Saccharomyces cerevisiae S288C: one gene and its partners. Each later gene encodes a partner of the first gene's protein in a complex. Each region holds a gene or a part of one and is shown on either strand. Other genes may lie near its edges. The genes, in order: RRP45, RRP6, RRP40 and SKI6. A codon is read from its position in the direction of its gene.

Region 1 (4,182 bases):
CACACGTATGTTTGCGTGGCATTGTCATTTTTAAGAGCAGAGAAAGAAACAATGAGCTACTTGAGTGTGACAAGTTGAAAAGTCCACCAATTTCACGTTGAATTAGGATTCATATATGAAATTCTAGTCATTAATTAGAATTGTAAGTTTCTGAGCTTTTTTTTCCTAGTAAATTAAACTTGTCTAATACATCCAGTTGTGATGTATTCTATATCTCAGTTCTACAGTAGCACGAAGTTTCCCGGCCTCTCTATTCAATAAATTCAGCTATCGCTGATTATCAACAGCAGCAACGAATAAAGCATAAAAGAACAGAAAAATTCTTCTACAAATTTATTCTGTAAAGATTCAGCTTCTTTCGTGAATTTCTAAGTTCATGAGGGGAATTTAAGTATGGCGTTTCTTCGTAGCGCCATTGTCTTGAGCCAAAATGGAACTCTAAAAATTTTCACGACATTTTACTAGTCAGTAAAGTGAGCATATACATATAAGAAGAAATTTCAAAAGGTAAAAAATGGAGCAACTTCCAGCTCATTATCTTTTCAATGTTGTCGATGCCATAGTTGGATTATGAAATCTCATATTCATAACCACAACGCGTTTTTTTCCTTTTAAGGCACTACAGACTCCATTCTCACAAGTTTGTCAAAAGCACGAGCGCGATGAGAATTAAAGTCAGATCTGGTTAATGATTCTGGTACAACAGCAGAAACAAATCGAGTACAAATTTAATCTTATTCTGTCGCAATAGTTGACTTTCTTTTCTGGCCTCTCGAACAAAAAGCATGACCGTTTCCAACATTGGGGGGGAAGAACGACTAATAATTTTACCAGACGATTATGAAACTTCGAAAACTATAAACACTTTTACACTGCCGCCACCTTCCAATATTACATCCAAACCTCGTATCGAGCTCTTCGAAAATATTAATGGAAAACTTTACGAAATAAGATCTTTTCAATTCGGCAAAGGGCCCTCGTATTCACATGAGGAAGATTTGGCAAATGATAAATATCACTATACTAAGGAAAATCACCCGATCAAATCAACTTTCATTGTAAATACGTCTGATCCCACCGATGGTTATGTTTTTAACTCAAGCAAAATACACTTTTGTTCTTTATACGATATTGCTTTTAGTTTGATTGGATTTTACTATAGAAACAGTGTTTCAGCAGATGAACAAGATTACTCCAATTCAAGTGATACTGGTGAAAACCAAAAAAGCAACAGCAAAACCAATGAGAAATTTCTTACGGTGCGTGATTACCATGATTTCTTAACGGATAACCATGACAAGAATTGGGAAAACATTTCTTTAAGTCGTCTCAAGAGTGGCTTAGCAAAAGTTAGTGAAACCATTGAGGAAGCTGGTGACGTCTATTACAAGATCACATCTGCAATGATAACACAATTTTTGTTAGGCAAGGTATCAAAAATTGTAGAAAACTTTCCTCCAAGTATCCCTACACTTAAAAATGCCCCAACGGAAATAAAACAGTGCTACAAGGTAGTTATGGCTACAAATCTTTTAGTTTCCCTGATTCCAAGGGCGGCCTACCATAATTTACTTACCTTTTCACCTACAATGGATAGTGGTTGCCTAAATCCGGATATAAAAGCTAGCTTCATAGAACTCGAAAACTACGAGACTACGAACGAATTACAGAATGCTGAAAGAGAATTACTGATGAAAAGTGCCATGAATGTAGGCCTAAATTCGAATGGCAGGGTTTCATTGCCAGTGAAAAAAGTTACCAAAAAAATAGTTCAAAATAAAAAACCAAAAGTAGCCATAGGAAAAGGGGCCATTGATGGATTTTTTAAACGTAAGTAGCTAGTATCATAATTAAACAGCAATTTGAATGCTATAACTCGGTGGTGATGACCTCAGTGCGAGATAATTACACAATATTGTCACTACCAACGAATGGGCTACCTTTTTTTTCCTTTCTCGAATTCAAGAAAAAATTAACAACTTTTCCCTCGATGATGTTAACAAATGTCTGAATATAAAGGAATAGGAAACGGTTGCTAGATTGTATTTACCTTACCAACTTTCAAGTTTTTTTTCTAACTTCCTAACTTTCAGTCTCGATACATTAATCAACAGGACGTAGTGATTGCAAAATTGTTCAGAATATACATTAGATTAAAAGACAAATGGCCAAAGACATTGAGATATCCGCATCCGAGTCAAAATTTATCTTAGAAGCACTGAGACAGAATTATAGGTTGGACGGCCGCTCCTTTGATCAATTTCGTGACGTGGAAATAACGTTTGGTAAAGAATTTGGTGATGTTAGCGTAAAAATGGGCAACACCAAAGTTCACTGCAGGATTAGTTGTCAAATAGCACAACCATACGAAGACAGGCCATTTGAAGGATTATTTGTAATATCTACAGAAATATCTCCTATGGCTGGTTCTCAATTTGAAAATGGAAATATCACGGGGGAAGATGAAGTTTTATGTTCAAGAATAATTGAAAAATCTGTTAGGCGGTCGGGCGCATTGGACGTGGAAGGACTATGTATCGTTGCTGGCAGTAAATGCTGGGCTGTGAGAGCTGATGTACATTTCCTGGATTGTGATGGTGGATTTATTGACGCTTCGTGTATTGCCGTCATGGCAGGATTGATGCATTTTAAGAAACCAGATATAACTGTCCATGGCGAGCAGATCATTGTTCATCCTGTTAATGAAAGAGAGCCAGTTCCACTAGGTATACTGCATATTCCAATATGTGTAACTTTTTCTTTCTTCAATCCTCAAGACACCGAGGAAAACATAAAAGGTGAGACTAACTCAGAAATTTCCATCATTGATGCAACATTGAAAGAGGAACTACTGCGAGATGGTGTATTGACGGTTACGCTAAACAAAAACCGTGAAGTGGTACAAGTTTCCAAAGCGGGTGGTTTACCAATGGATGCGTTGACGCTAATGAAATGTTGTCACGAGGCTTACAGCATTATTGAGAAAATAACTGATCAAATACTGCAGCTTTTAAAGGAGGATTCAGAAAAGAGAAACAAGTATGCAGCCATGCTTACATCTGAAAATGCCCGCGAGATCTAATATTAACGAAAAAACTGAAATAAAAGCAACGCTTATACATATACATGCATGCATTAATATATGTATATATATCGGTACGTATAGATTGTAAAATTACACTTACTACTAAAGGCAGTATGAAAGACGCCCGCAGTTTTTTTCCTACTGTTTTCTTGACTGCGGTGTTCAAAAACATAAAAATCATTAAATTACTATAAAACAAACGCATACTGCGAAGAAAAAAGGCTCGGCTATAAATGCATATGAGAAAATATTATCTTTTGCCTCCCTGCTTAATTTCTGAAGGCATGTACTATCCAAAAGAAAAATCTTGAAAGAAAACAAATCCCATTATTCTTATTATTAAAACAAAAACTTCGTCATCGTCATCACATAAAAAAGACCTACCATTGTCAAACTGTACAACAGCAACACAATAATAATGACGATGATGAGTTCCTCGAGAAACCCTAGAACGGCGTTATAACACTGTTTGAGGGTATTACTTTTTCCACTACTCTCGTGGCGCGGAAGACCTGCTTCCAAATCTACTGTGTAATCAATACACTTAACCTCCTCTCTCTCCCCTTGTGCGTCAGAAAACTCTGCCTGTCTTATTTCCTTCTCCTGTTGTCCTATTTTCAGTACATCATCGATGCACCTCGAGGTATCTTCCATCTTGGTGTCAGGTTGAAAAACAATTGCTGTCGTTTTTTTTTAGTTCAACAAGTTTGGTATGGCAGTTGACAAAAATTCTATTTGGGCTGCAATGAATCAAAGTGTACAAACATCTGGTGAAATCGTTCAAGTTTTATACTGAATAGAAAACAAAAGATAAGGTTCTGCGCATCGCAAATAATAAATTACTAGCGCGCCATACAAGAGACGAGTCTATTTTTTTCCGCCAGACGACACAAAAAAGAACCCGTGCAAATATTATATCCCACCTCCCACGTGTCAGCGAAGCTCGGAACTGCGTAACATTATAGGGCAGAACATCCAAATGGAAAAAGTAATAACACTATTTGCGATGTTAGTGGCCATCCTGCGTCGTTCGGATAGGTTAGGACGGGCTGATGAATATACGGGTGTAATAAAAATGACACCACGTTATCAGGGTT
Region 2 (5,360 bases), on another chromosome or scaffold:
TCTGGCCTAAACAAGGTAGTGCTACCCTAGAGGAAGTACGATATCAGTACACTTTTGTATTTTTAACGAATTATGGTATTCTTTAAAATATTTAACATGCTATCGAGTTTTTCTTTCTAAAATGCGGTTTCAAAATTTGAGTCCGCTTTCTATGGAAAATATGAATGAGGCGAACGTGCTTGTACCATAGTCAGATTTTAACCCGTAGGTGAGAGCCTGAGGCTTCTGTAAACCACCTTGGAAACACATACGGGTTATAAGATTTTAACAAACAATCAGTCTCCATACTCATCCTAGGATCTCTTCTTCATTTGATGAATAAAGGATTCAAACTTCAGAAAGTTATTCAGCGTATATTGGCTTTCCTTTAATCTAATGCCCCAAGCCATCATAAATAGCCATATTACTTTGAAAGTGCTCATCCGTATACACTGCAACTTTTCTTCTTTTCTCTTTAGCCGATTATAGCTCCTACCTGTTTTTTTTTTCTTCTTAAGATTATTTATATTCCAATTTTATCATCCGTATTGTTTCCAATAGCGTTCCAGTGATCAGTTATATACTTCGAGAGGCAGATAACCTTTCTTTTTATAAGTGTTTATCAAATTTAAGTCTGCAAGCTATCATAAGACGAGGATATCCTTTGGAGACTCATAGAAATCATGGAAAGCACATCAGGAGAACGTTCCGAAAATATACATGAGGATCAAGGGATACCAAAAGTAATTCTGCCCGCTGATTTTAATAAATGCTCTAGAACTGACCTAGTGGTGCTCATATCACGAATGTTAGTATCGCTGATAGCAATCAATGAAAATTCAGCAACAAAGAAATCTGATGACCAAATTACTTTAACACGATACCATTCTAAGATTCCTCCAAACATATCAATCTTCAACTATTTCATACGACTGACAAAGTTTTCCTCTTTAGAACATTGTGTGCTTATGACATCACTCTATTATATCGATTTATTGCAAACTGTGTATCCTGATTTTACGCTTAATTCGTTGACTGCCCATAGGTTTTTATTAACAGCCACCACAGTCGCAACAAAAGGCTTATGTGATTCGTTCTCAACAAACGCCCATTATGCAAAAGTTGGAGGAGTACGATGTCACGAATTGAATATACTGGAGAACGATTTTTTAAAGAGAGTAAACTACAGAATCATTCCGCGGGATCATAACATTACGTTATGTAGTATAGAGCAAAAACAGAAAAAGTTTGTCATAGATAAAAACGCATTAGGGTCTCTCGATTTGGATTCTTATTCTTACGTTAATCGTCCAAAAAGTGGATATAATGTTCTAGATAAATACTATCGAAGAATAGTTCAGCTGGTGGGTTCCTTTAACGCTTCACCTGATAAGAGTAGAAAGGTTGATTATGTTCTCCCGCCAAATATTGATATAGTGAGTGAAAGTGGCTCCCAAACTACTCAACTAAAGGGGTCGTCATCACCCAATTCTCACTCTTCACAAAAGCGATATTCTGAGGCAAAGGACGCACATATCTATAACAAGCGATCAAAGCCAGATTAATGATTTTTCGTGGGGTATTATGAAAGCAATCATGATTGAGCAAAATTAAAACTTTCCATTTGTACATATATATATATATATATATATATATCTGTGTGTGTATAATAAGCAATTGGCCATCATTTGGCTAAAAAGTTCAAGATTTCAGGTAGTATATAAGAGAATAACTTCCCTCTTTTGCTAAAGAAGGATATGTTCTATTTCAGCCTTTTTGCATCATAAGAGCATAAGCGACAGAAAACACTTCGAGATGAGCTTGAGAACTCCATTTCAATTAACTTGATAAATACATGTAGATTCATATCATCACTGTTCTTTTCAGATACTAGTTTCAAAACTTCCTTGACAGAACCATTTCATGTTCAATAATGAAAATTACTTTCACATGTTTTAGTGGAAAAATACTGAACAATGAAATTTCAATATCGCATATAATAATTTTTGTTATCAAATATATATTTTTCGGAAGTCATATACATTAAATAATTAAAACATTATTTTTAAAAATTAAAAAAATATATTTTAGCAAATAGTTTTTACTTTTTTTTAAATGCAAAATAAGTTCACGTGATATTATTAATAATATTTTACCCAAAAATATGAGGGCATCGGAAAATTTTTCAGTAATGAATATTAATGTTCATCTGAAGATAGACGAAATAGGAACAACAAACAGCTTATAAGCACCCAATAAGTGCGTTATGACTTCTGAAAATCCGGATGTACTTTTATCTAGGGTGATAAATGTGGTGAGAGCAGCATCATCGTTAGCCAGTCAAGATGTAGACTTTTACAAGAATTTAGACAGGGGATTTAGTAAAGATCTGAAATCAAAAGCAGACAAACTTGCGGATATGGCGAATGAAATAATCCTCTCTATTGATGAGCATCATGAATCATTTGAACTTAAAGAAGAGGACATTTCTGACTTGTGGAACAACTTTGGAAACATCATGGATAATTTGTTAGAAATGTCAGACCATTCGCTGGATAAGCTGAATTGTGCAATAAACTCAAAGTCAAGAGGTTCCGATCTTCAGTATTTAGGCGAATTTTCAGGAAAGAATTTTTCTCCCACCAAAAGAGTCGAAAAACCTCAGTTGAAATTTAAAAGTCCAATTGATAACAGCGAAAGTCATCCGTTCATACCTTTATTGAAGGAAAAACCAAATGCTTTGAAGCCACTCTCTGAGAGTTTGAGGTTGGTTGATGATGATGAAAATAACCCCAGTCACTACCCCCATCCTTATGAATATGAGATTGATCATCAAGAGTATAGTCCAGAAATTCTCCAAATTAGAGAGGAGATTCCCTCAAAATCCTGGGATGATTCGGTACCAATTTGGGTAGATACAAGTACAGAACTCGAATCAATGTTGGAGGACTTGAAAAATACGAAAGAGATTGCCGTTGATCTTGAGCATCACGATTATAGGTCATACTATGGTATTGTTTGCCTCATGCAAATTAGTACAAGGGAAAGGGATTATTTAGTTGATACTCTAAAACTTCGCGAAAATTTACATATTCTGAACGAAGTGTTTACGAACCCTTCAATTGTGAAAGTTTTTCACGGTGCATTCATGGATATTATTTGGCTTCAGCGAGATTTAGGTTTGTATGTCGTTGGTCTCTTCGATACTTACCATGCGTCTAAAGCAATCGGTCTTCCTAGACATAGTTTGGCCTATCTTTTGGAGAATTTTGCCAATTTTAAAACTTCAAAGAAATATCAGTTGGCTGACTGGCGTATAAGACCGCTTTCAAAACCCATGACGGCATATGCTAGAGCAGATACTCACTTTTTACTAAATATATATGACCAGTTGAGAAACAAACTTATCGAGTCTAATAAGTTAGCAGGTGTTCTTTATGAATCAAGAAATGTCGCAAAAAGAAGGTTTGAATATTCAAAGTACAGACCACTGACACCTTCTTCAGAAGTTTATTCTCCAATCGAAAAAGAGAGTCCTTGGAAAATATTGATGTATCAGTACAACATACCACCTGAGAGGGAAGTATTAGTAAGAGAGCTATACCAATGGAGAGATCTTATTGCAAGAAGAGACGATGAATCGCCACGATTTGTTATGCCAAACCAGTTATTGGCTGCACTTGTCGCATATACACCTACTGATGTCATAGGTGTTGTTTCTTTGACCAATGGCGTAACTGAACATGTCCGCCAGAATGCAAAACTATTAGCTAATTTGATAAGAGATGCATTACGAAACATCAAGAACACCAATGAGGAAGCTACTCCCATTCCATCTTCCGAGACCAAAGCAGACGGAATATTGTTGGAGACTATAAGTGTTCCTCAAATCCGTGATGTTATGGAAAGGTTTTCGGTGTTGTGCAACAGCAATATTTCCAAGAGCCGAGCCAAGCCTGTCACTAATTCTTCTATTCTGTTGGGTAAGATTTTACCACGTGAGGAGCATGATATTGCATATAGCAAAGACGGCTTGCCAAATAAAGTGAAGACGGAAGATATCAGGATCCGAGCACAAAATTTCAAGTCTGCCTTAGCAAACTTGGAGGATATCATATTCGAAATAGAGAAACCTCTCGTTGTTCCTGTCAAGCTAGAGGAGATTAAGACAGTAGACCCTGCGAGCGCACCTAATCACTCGCCTGAGATTGATAATCTTGATGATCTTGTTGTTTTAAAGAAGAAAAACATTCAAAAGAAACAACCAGCAAAGGAAAAAGGTGTAACGGAAAAAGATGCTGTGGATTATTCAAAAATTCCGAATATCTTATCTAATAAGCCTGGCCAAAATAATAGACAACAAAAGAAAAGGAGATTCGACCCATCATCTAGCGATAGTAATGGACCAAGGGCAGCTAAAAAGAGGAGGCCTGCCGCCAAAGGTAAGAATCTGTCATTTAAAAGGTGATTATGTAAAACAAGCGTATTTTTTTATTTATAAATTATGGTAATTTTCATTTAAGACCTCTAAATTCATCTAATCGAATATCTGTGTCATGGAGTTATGGCTCCCCCATGCACACCATTTTCTCTTTTTTTGTTTCTGTGTTTCCCTTCATCTCCTTTATTATGAAAAGTACAAGTTTTATATAATTTCAACGTCGGAGGTTATCCGGAAATCTATAGTTGAATTTTTGCAGGATTATACTTCGCTCGAATATTGTGCGTGTTAAATACTCAGCGAGAACAATACTTCCAAGTTAGAAAAGGGATTTGCTCATGTTAAAGCAATGGCACTCCGAATGGACGGTGTCAGGAATTCTTTTCTTCACATCAGGCTTCGCATAGAAAATGGCCATTGGCAAAAGGTTACTGGTGAACAAACCAGCAGAAGAATCATTTTATGCTTCTCCAATGTATGATTTTTTGTATCCGTTTAGGCCAGTGGGGAACCAATGGCTGCCAGAATATATTATCTTTGTATGTGCTGTAATACTGAGGTGCACAATTGGACTTGGTCCATATTCTGGGAAAGGCAGTCCACCGCTGTACGGCGATTTTGAGGCTCAGAGACATTGGATGGAAATTACGCAACATTTACCGCTTTCTAAGTGGTACTGGTATGATTTGCAATACTGGGGATTGGACTATCCACCATTAACAGCATTTCATTCGTACCTTCTGGGCCTAATTGGATCTTTTTTCAATCCATCTTGGTTTGCACTAGAAAAGTCACGTGGCTTTGAATCCCCCGATAATGGCCTGAAAACATATATGCGTTCTACTGTCATCATTAGCGACATATTGTTTTACTTTCCTGCAGTAATATACTTTACTAAGTGGCTTGGTAGATATCGAAACCAGTCGCCCATAGGACAATC
Region 3 (3,782 bases), on another chromosome or scaffold:
ACTATCTTTTTATCCTGTGGCGTTTGTTCAATGATGGAGTTCAATCTTGACCTGATGGCAAATAACCTCAACCAATAACCTCTGTTAATACAGGGAGATCTTTTAATTTTCTTAGGAACAAAGAATTTAAAATATTCCAACAGTTTATTATTCTTATCCATTTGGAAATTATTAGCCGAACTCAGTTTTGGCAAATACAATAACTCTACCGATCTTTTAGAAGCAATTGAGGAGTTATTTGTGCCTTGAATCGCCAAATCAGCGTACTTTTTACGTCTTTCTTGTTTGACATTCTTGTTCGTTTGCTTTATAGTGGTCAGATTCTTCATCGTATTAGATATGTGCACTATAGTTGTCGAAATTTTATGGCCATATGTTAGATGTGATGAGATGAGATGAGATGAAACTTTTTTTCCTTCGCTTTTTCAAAGGACATTAAAAAAGGACGTGAAATATTGATGATATCTATGTGTTTATATATTTTAATTATACATGGTAGTCTACTCCTCCTTGACCGTAAGTATTTCTTTAAACTGTCTTTTTGCTATATCCTTGAACGCTGCCGTGTCGTTTTTTTGACAACACTCCATTATGGTTCTATAACAAGCTAAAGTGTTAGATAATTCCTCGCACTTAACCCAGATCTTCCCATTGAGACCAATGGCGACTTCAAACTTGGTATGTGCAGCCAACACTTTTAATAACGGGAAGTCATTATTGAAAAGCAACTGGCGTGCGAAATTCAAATTCACGTCAATGATCATACCATCTTCCAATATCCCGAAACCAGCATCGCGTCCTGTAGTTGAGTCAAAACATTCTATTTCGGCTTCTAGTTCCTTTTCTGCGGTACAAACTCTCGCATACACTAGATCTCCCACTTGCAAAGTTGGCCTGTTTTTCTTTGAAGCATTGGGAAAAGCCATATACGATAGTGAAACACTGGAGGAGAAATTTTGCAACGAAACCTTATAGCTATCTGAAAATGTCCCTATAATGACACCGATTACAAAATCGTTTACAGATGGAATGTATCTCTTACTAGAATAGTCTATATATGCGGTCTGAACACCACTCTTACCCTTAGCGGAAACATGCAAAACACCTGTATTAACAGGTCGTATTTCTTGAGTATTGGGGTCACAATATATGCCAGGGCCCAGTTTAACAGGTGTAGTAGGGTCTACAGGAAAGCTATCACCAGGGAATATGAACGTAGACATCTTGTATGCTCTTGGTTAGTCGAAATGCTGGAGATGAGCTGCTGAAGCATCCGTTTGTGCTGTTGGTTTAATATGCTTCTCTAAACCAAAAAATTTCAGCCGATCAGGTCCGGGTCACACCACTACCCTTACTAGTAAACAATGATGGCTTTCATTAAGGTAACTTTAAGTGAGGTGGATGGAACTAGTTTCCACGAAACTTCATCGAAGAGGTCTGGGGTTCTATGACGTATAATTAAAACTCTGGGAGGTTTTCGGAGGTTCCCGTAGGTCAATTCTTAAGGCTCTATGACATATTCTGGGAGCGGAGATATTTTCGGAGGTCCCCGTTAATAAGAGAAAAGTAGCCATATAAAAGAGAACAATGAAATATTGCCCCAGAGAGTGGGTTCAAAAGCATGAAAAGGAACAGTATAACGCAGTATAACGCAGTATAACGCAGTATAACGCAGTATGGCAGTTAAAGGATTAGGCAAACCAGATCAAGTTTATGACGGTTCCAAAATCAGGGTCGGTATCATTCATGCCCGTTGGAACCGTGTCATTATTGACGCTCTTGTGAAAGGTGCTATTGAAAGAATGGCTTCCCTTGGTGTCGAGGAAAATAACATAATAATTGAAACTGTTCCTGGATCCTATGAATTACCTTGGGGGACAAAAAGGTTTGTTGACAGACAAGCGAAGTTGGGAAAGCCGCTAGATGTTGTAATTCCTATTGGTGTACTTATCAAAGGTAGTACAATGCACTTTGAATACATTTCAGATTCCACCACTCACGCATTGATGAACTTACAAGAAAAAGTCGACATGCCCGTCATTTTTGGCCTCTTAACTTGCATGACTGAAGAACAAGCCCTGGCCAGAGCTGGCATCGATGAAGCGCACTCCATGCACAACCATGGTGAAGATTGGGGTGCTGCAGCAGTGGAAATGGCTGTTAAGTTCGGTAAAAATGCTTTTTGAATAAGCGCAGAGAAATCTATACTATATATGTATATATACTCACTATAGAAGAAGCCCGCTCTTTGATTGTTTCCTCTTACGGTGCTTCAATGCATCTTTCATTTTGCGCCTCATATCACGGGTCCAATTACCTCTGTTAGCCCAGAACTCCTCATCCCAGTTCGATAGCATTGTTTCTCTTCCAGGAGCCCTTACTTTACTCAACTGTGTTTGTCCTACTAAAAATGGCGATTGCAAATGAGGGAAAAACAAGAAATTTTTGTTATCTTTATCTCTAGATACATGTGGTACGGGAGCCGATGTCAAACCTAGGGTGTCAGATGATTTACTTACTTCTTCCTCCAGTTGGTTCACATCAACATCTTTCGCATGATCAATATCATTATCAGAATCTTCAATCAATTTGAATTGTGATACAGGTTCTGCCTCGTTGGGGTTGAATAGGTTTCTTAACGTCTCAGTGTTGCTTATTGTACCTTGACCAATTTCCTTGGTGAAAGTCGGAATAAATTCATTATCCTCCTGCCCGTCGCCCTCGTCCTGTTCTTTCCTTTCCTCTGGTTTTTCTTGTGGTAGGGTGCTCTGGTCCTTCGTCTTATTAACATTCTCGTATTCGGGAGCGTTTACTTCTTTTTCTTCTTCTTCTTCTTCTTCTTCCTCTCCTTTACGTTGCTCTGTCAGAAGTTCCTCGTCCGAATCATTCAACGTCATTGGCTTATCGAAGTCAAAGTCCTTTAATAGGTCATTAAGAATAACATTATTTTTCTCCTTCTCCTCTTCTGACATATTCTCATCGCTGTCCATCTCTCCACTGCAAACGTTTTCATCTTTTGACACTGTTAACTGTTTCAGCCCATTTTTGAATCGAACAGTTTTAACAGCACGACTGTAATCCAATCTATCGACAATGTGGTTGTATCCGTTTTTCCAGAAATTATTTGTAAACTTGTACACAAGGTCATTCAATTCTTTGTTCCTTTCATAACCCCATAATTTAGTCTTATAGCATTTGTAAACTTTCAATGAACCATTGACATTGATCCTGAATGTAATGTTCCTCAATTGACTCCTTTTTCTCGGCGCCTCCCTCATTCTGCCAGCAATAACTTCCTTATGATCTTTCCAACTTTTCGCTACATTTTCCATTTTCTTATAATGTTGCCAATTCTTTTTTTTCATTTTAGCATTTAGTATAATATCTTCTTTAAGGTCCTTTGCATGTTGTACCGCCCAGGTGCTTTCCCAATTCGGCTTTGCTTCATCAACCTTCAAAATGTTCCCTTTAAACTTAACATTATTAAAGCTCTTTCTTAGCTTGTTAAAATCTGCCTCATCATTAAACCTTATATCGATAAATGCAAAGTGGTTGTGTTTTTCAAACTGAAAATCTTGGCAATCACCAAATTTTCCAAATCGATCTAGTAGTTCTGAATAACAATCATCTGCATTATGGAAAATATTTCCGACAAAAATTCTTTTTTGAATTACACTATCCATCGTCGTATATTACCTAGTTCTCACTTCAGGTACAATCTAAAATGATATGGGCCTATTGTATACTTTGTTAATTGACTGACATTGACATTTTAGCTCATC
Region 4 (3,868 bases), on another chromosome or scaffold:
AGATGACGATTTGGAGACAATCAGGGACACTAAGACTATATACGACAACAATACGATTTATAATGTTCCCGGTTTGATTGGTAACCAATCGAATTTGCCACCTCTACCGATGGACGCACAGGAACAATTAAATGCAGGAAACGATAATAGTACAACAGATAATGATAATAGTAACAATACTGCCAATGATTTGGCAGCGCGCAGTGCATCTTTCAAAAGTGAAAACAGAACAGTATCTCAAGGCGAAATGACAAGCGTCCATGAACCCAGTACTGAAGAAATGGCGAAATTGGGGCAGCAGAATAACTTACCGAAATTAGATATGAATAAACTACTGAACAGTAAGACTTCGCACGCCGGTAAGATAGAACAGTTGAGAAATTATAAGCGTGAGCTAGATGAATATGATACGGGGATACAAACATGGATAAATTATACGCTAAAATCATCCTCTAATAAGGATAAGGATTTCATAGCTGAGGAGTATAAGCAGCATAGTCACGTTAGGGAAGCATATGCGAACGCGGACGATTTGAGTAAGAAGCATACTGTCATTAACACGGTTGCTAGTGTCAACCAAAATGTAACGCACTTAAGGAGAAAAGTTTTCCAGCATTCTATGAAACCAAAGGATTTATTCGCATCAATAGGTAAGAAAAAACTGTAAGCGTTTTGCTTTACGGTAGAAACACGAAAATGTAAATGCGTTCAATTTTCAATTTTACTGTTTTTTATGTACTTTTATATAAACAGTGGCAATTAATGGCGTTTTTTATTCTACCTAGCAGAGGCGTTACTGACTCTTTTCTGAGCATGTTTCCTCAGTTCTTCATCCATCAAATCTCTTACCCTATGAGCACCTGCGATGCCGATGGCAAGAACGTTCTCTAACCTATCTAACGGAATTTTGTCTTCCACCAATAAAAGAGAAAGTTTTTCTGACTTCCCTACCACACCTAGTGTCACTGTACTCATAGCATTTTCTTCTAATGAATTGGTATCTAATAATGGGGTAGTATCGTACAGCCCGACGGATATACCACTTATGTAATCGAACATTGATATACCGGCATCTATTAAAGCGAGGGTAATACCGTTGATTAAAGATCCCATAATACCGCCATCTTGCTCAAGGACATGGATCTCGATATCGATAACTGTTCTGGGGTAGATATTCAGCATGACATTCTTCTCAAACATCCTCACCAGGGAGGTTTGTATCTCAAGAACACGCCTTTCATTCTTGTGGCTTGATTTACTTCTTTCGAATTTGGAGAATTTTGTAATGTTTACCGATACGTTCAATAAAGCCTTTGAGGTATCCATTTGAGATTTCAATCTTGGCTCTTTTGGACCTTTAACAAGAGTGATAATTTTGTTGTTACCTTGTTCCATGTAGGATGAACCGTCTGCAGCGTGCGGATGTGTGTTGATGGAACTTTCAAAACGGCGGAGTTCATTCCATCGACGTCCATCGAGACGTAGCCCTTCTGGCGAGTATATTTCTAGTCTTGACATATGATGATCCTGCTGTAGTTATGGCACTAAAGTTTTTTTGTAAATCTTTTTATATGTTAATAGATTTTACCAGTGGGACCCTGGAAAGAAAATATGTGTAAATGATGTTTTCTTTTGGATGATGTTCATTGCACAATGGTTCGCAATGTCATTCATTCATCCATTTCTTCTAGCTTTTCAATTATTAATGCCTTAAAATTTTTCAATTTCACCGCGTTACCCGAAGATGTAAATGTACCTACTCAAATAAAAGGTTCCTTGCTGGTTGGCTTTCGTAGCTAAATTGAGTGCACGTTACAAGATTATAAATGCGTTTATATATATATATTCCAGTGAATGATCTACTTTTGCTTAAGCGGCAGAATTGCAAATCTTAATTTTTCTTTTTTGTTTATGTTTTATTTCCTTGTGACAAATAAAATTTTTTTCTCTTCTGAATTTTTAAAACTAAAGAACAAAATATTAAAATAAACAAACAATTCTCCACTTTTTCTTCTTTTGGTATAGAAACTGATAGAAATGTCCTAGACCCTTAATAAGCAAAACACTCATCATTATAACGGGAAAAAATTTGAAGCAAGCTCAAAAGAGATATATATATCATCCAGCATAGACTACTATTAATTTCTATCATAATTGCAATAAAAAAGGAAATATTTAGGGGATCAAGACCATTATTCCATCAGAATGGAAAAAAGTTTAAAAGATCACGGAGATTTTGTTCTTCTGAGCTTCTGCTGTCCTTGAAAACAAATTATTCCGCTGGCCGCCCCAAACAAAAACAACCCCGATTTAATAACATTGTCACAGTATTAGAAATTTTCTTTTTACAAATTACCATTTCCAGCTTACTACTTCCTATAATCCTCAATCTTCAGCAAGCGACGCAGGGAATAGCCGCTGAGGTGCATAACTGTCACTTTTCAATTCGGCCAATGCAATCTCAGGCGGACGAATAAGGGGGCCCTCTCGAGAAAAACAAAAGGAGGATGAGATTAGTACTTTAATGTTGTGTTCAGTAATTCAGAGACAGACAAGAGAGGTTTCCAACACAATGTCTTTAGACTCATACTATCTTGGGTTTGATCTTTCGACCCAACAACTGAAATGTCTCGCCATTAACCAGGACCTAAAAATTGTCCATTCAGAAACAGTGGAATTTGAAAAGGATCTTCCGCATTATCACACAAAGAAGGGTGTCTATATACACGGCGACACTATCGAATGTCCCGTAGCCATGTGGTTAGAGGCTCTAGATCTGGTTCTCTCGAAATATCGCGAGGCTAAATTTCCATTGAACAAAGTTATGGCCGTCTCAGGGTCCTGCCAGCAGCACGGGTCTGTCTACTGGTCCTCCCAAGCCGAATCTCTGTTAGAGCAATTGAATAAGAAACCGGAAAAAGATTTATTGCACTACGTGAGCTCTGTAGCATTTGCAAGGCAAACCGCCCCCAATTGGCAAGACCACAGTACTGCAAAGCAATGTCAAGAGTTTGAAGAGTGCATAGGTGGGCCTGAAAAAATGGCTCAATTAACAGGGTCCAGAGCCCATTTTAGATTTACTGGTCCTCAAATTCTGAAAATTGCACAATTAGAACCAGAAGCTTACGAAAAAACAAAGACCATTTCTTTAGTGTCTAATTTTTTGACTTCTATCTTAGTGGGCCATCTTGTTGAATTAGAGGAGGCAGATGCCTGTGGTATGAACCTTTATGATATACGTGAAAGAAAATTCAGTGATGAGCTACTACATCTAATTGATAGTTCTTCTAAGGATAAAACTATCAGACAAAAATTAATGAGAGCACCCATGAAAAATTTGATAGCGGGTACCATCTGTAAATATTTTATTGAGAAGTACGGTTTCAATACAAACTGCAAGGTCTCTCCCATGACTGGGGATAATTTAGCCACTATATGTTCTTTACCCCTGCGGAAGAATGACGTTCTCGTTTCCCTAGGAACAAGTACTACAGTTCTTCTGGTCACCGATAAGTATCACCCCTCTCCGAACTATCATCTTTTCATTCATCCAACTCTGCCAAACCATTATATGGGTATGATTTGTTATTGTAATGGTTCTTTGGCAAGGGAGAGGATAAGAGACGAGTTAAACAAAGAACGGGAAAATAATTATGAGAAGACTAACGATTGGACTCTTTTTAATCAAGCTGTGCTAGATGACTCAGAAAGTAGTGAAAATGAATTAGGTGTATATTTTCCTCTGGGGGAGATCGTTCCTAGCGTAAAAGCCATAAACAAAAGGGTTATCTTCAATCCAAAAACGGGTATGATTGAAAGAGAGGTGGCCAAGTTCAAAGACAAGAGGCACGATGCCAAAAATATTGTA

What was found.
Region 2: RRP45 (region 1) and RRP6 share a complex: the UniProt entries of both Saccharomyces cerevisiae proteins name them as parts of the RNA exosome complex.
Region 3: the proteins of RRP45 (region 1) and RRP40 are in contact, whole or in part, in a crystal structure (PDB 5OKZ), measured with the Saccharomyces cerevisiae proteins. Residues at the interface, in NP_010566.1 of Saccharomyces cerevisiae: Lys3 (codon at 2,171), Asp4 (codon at 2,174), Ile5 (codon at 2,177), Glu6 (codon at 2,180), Ser8 (codon at 2,186), Ala9 (codon at 2,189), Ser10 (codon at 2,192), Glu11 (codon at 2,195), Phe14 (codon at 2,204), Ile15 (codon at 2,207), Glu17 (codon at 2,213), Ala18 (codon at 2,216), Gln21 (codon at 2,225), Tyr23 (codon at 2,231), Arg24 (codon at 2,234), Leu25 (codon at 2,237), Gly27 (codon at 2,243), Ser89 (codon at 2,429), Gln90 (codon at 2,432), Lys226 (codon at 2,840); in NP_014499.2 of Saccharomyces cerevisiae: Val75 (codon at 1,001), Ile77 (codon at 995), Ser87 (codon at 965), Asn90 (codon at 956), Phe91 (codon at 953), Gly116 (codon at 878), Leu118 (codon at 872), Leu150 (codon at 776), Glu151 (codon at 773), Asp152 (codon at 770), Gly153 (codon at 767), Met154 (codon at 764), Ile155 (codon at 761), Asp157 (codon at 755), Leu201 (codon at 623), Ser202 (codon at 620), Thr204 (codon at 614), Leu205 (codon at 611), Tyr208 (codon at 602), Arg209 (codon at 599), Ile234 (codon at 524).
Region 4: the proteins of RRP45 (region 1) and SKI6 are in contact, whole or in part, in a crystal structure (PDB 5OKZ), measured with the Saccharomyces cerevisiae proteins. Residues at the interface, in NP_010566.1 of Saccharomyces cerevisiae: Thr97 (codon at 2,453), Glu99 (codon at 2,459), Asp100 (codon at 2,462), Val102 (codon at 2,468), Leu103 (codon at 2,471), Ser105 (codon at 2,477), Arg106 (codon at 2,480), Glu109 (codon at 2,489), Lys110 (codon at 2,492), Arg114 (codon at 2,504), Ser115 (codon at 2,507), His191 (codon at 2,735), Thr206 (codon at 2,780), Glu207 (codon at 2,783), Asn209 (codon at 2,789), Ile210 (codon at 2,792), Lys211 (codon at 2,795), Asn215 (codon at 2,807), Glu217 (codon at 2,813), Asp232 (codon at 2,858), Leu239 (codon at 2,879), Arg243 (codon at 2,891), Glu244 (codon at 2,894), Val245 (codon at 2,897), Val246 (codon at 2,900), Gln247 (codon at 2,903), Val248 (codon at 2,906), Ser249 (codon at 2,909), Lys250 (codon at 2,912), Ala251 (codon at 2,915); in NP_011711.3 of Saccharomyces cerevisiae: Arg95 (codon at 1,236), Arg96 (codon at 1,233), Leu98 (codon at 1,227), Glu99 (codon at 1,224), Thr102 (codon at 1,215), Ser103 (codon at 1,212), Val105 (codon at 1,206), Arg106 (codon at 1,203), Met107 (codon at 1,200), Lys110 (codon at 1,191), Phe155 (codon at 1,056), Asp156 (codon at 1,053), Val190 (codon at 951), Glu194 (codon at 939), Lys195 (codon at 936), Leu196 (codon at 933), Ser197 (codon at 930), Leu198 (codon at 927), Leu199 (codon at 924), Leu200 (codon at 921), Val201 (codon at 918), Glu202 (codon at 915), Asp203 (codon at 912), Lys204 (codon at 909), Ile205 (codon at 906), Pro206 (codon at 903), Leu207 (codon at 900), Asp208 (codon at 897), Leu210 (codon at 891), Glu211 (codon at 888).

Annotation. Positions count from the first base shown.
Region 1 is NC_001136.10:1,018,583-1,022,764, forward strand, and holds RRP45 (exosome non-catalytic core subunit RRP45), read left to right. Parts: upstream 1-2,164; coding exon 2,165-3,082; downstream 3,083-4,182. Other genes in the region: RNH202 (Rnh202p), read left to right, coding at 786-1,838; PHM6 (Phm6p), read right to left, coding at 3,425-3,739. UniProt on the Saccharomyces cerevisiae protein: Non-catalytic component of the RNA exosome complex which has 3'->5' exoribonuclease activity and participates in a multitude of cellular RNA processing and degradation events.
Region 2 is NC_001147.6:324,587-329,946, forward strand, and holds RRP6 (exosome nuclease subunit RRP6), read left to right. Parts: upstream 1-2,245; coding exon 2,246-4,447; downstream 4,448-5,360. Other genes in the region: PHO80 (Pho80p), read left to right, coding at 663-1,544; ALG6 (dolichyl-P-Glc:Man(9)GlcNAc(2)-PP-dolichol alpha-1,3-glucosyltransferase), read left to right, coding at 4,831-5,360. UniProt on the Saccharomyces cerevisiae protein: Nuclear-specific catalytic component of the RNA exosome complex which has 3'->5' exoribonuclease activity and participates in a multitude of cellular RNA processing and degradation events.
Region 3 is NC_001147.6:52,999-56,780, reverse strand, and holds RRP40 (exosome non-catalytic core subunit RRP40), read right to left. Parts: upstream 1,224-3,782; coding exon 501-1,223; downstream 1-500. Other genes in the region: tRNA methyltransferase PPM2, read right to left, coding at 1-329; lumazine synthase RIB4, read left to right, coding at 1,677-2,186; NOP8 (Nop8p), read right to left, coding at 2,229-3,683. UniProt on the Saccharomyces cerevisiae protein: Non-catalytic component of the RNA exosome complex which has 3'->5' exoribonuclease activity and participates in a multitude of cellular RNA processing and degradation events.
Region 4 is NC_001139.9:886,532-890,399, reverse strand, and holds SKI6 (exosome non-catalytic core subunit SKI6), read right to left. Parts: upstream 1,519-3,868; coding exon 778-1,518; downstream 1-777. Other genes in the region: FYV8 (Fyv8p), read left to right, coding at 1-667; XKS1 (xylulokinase), read left to right, coding at 2,525-3,868. UniProt on the Saccharomyces cerevisiae protein: Non-catalytic component of the RNA exosome complex which has 3'->5' exoribonuclease activity and participates in a multitude of cellular RNA processing and degradation events.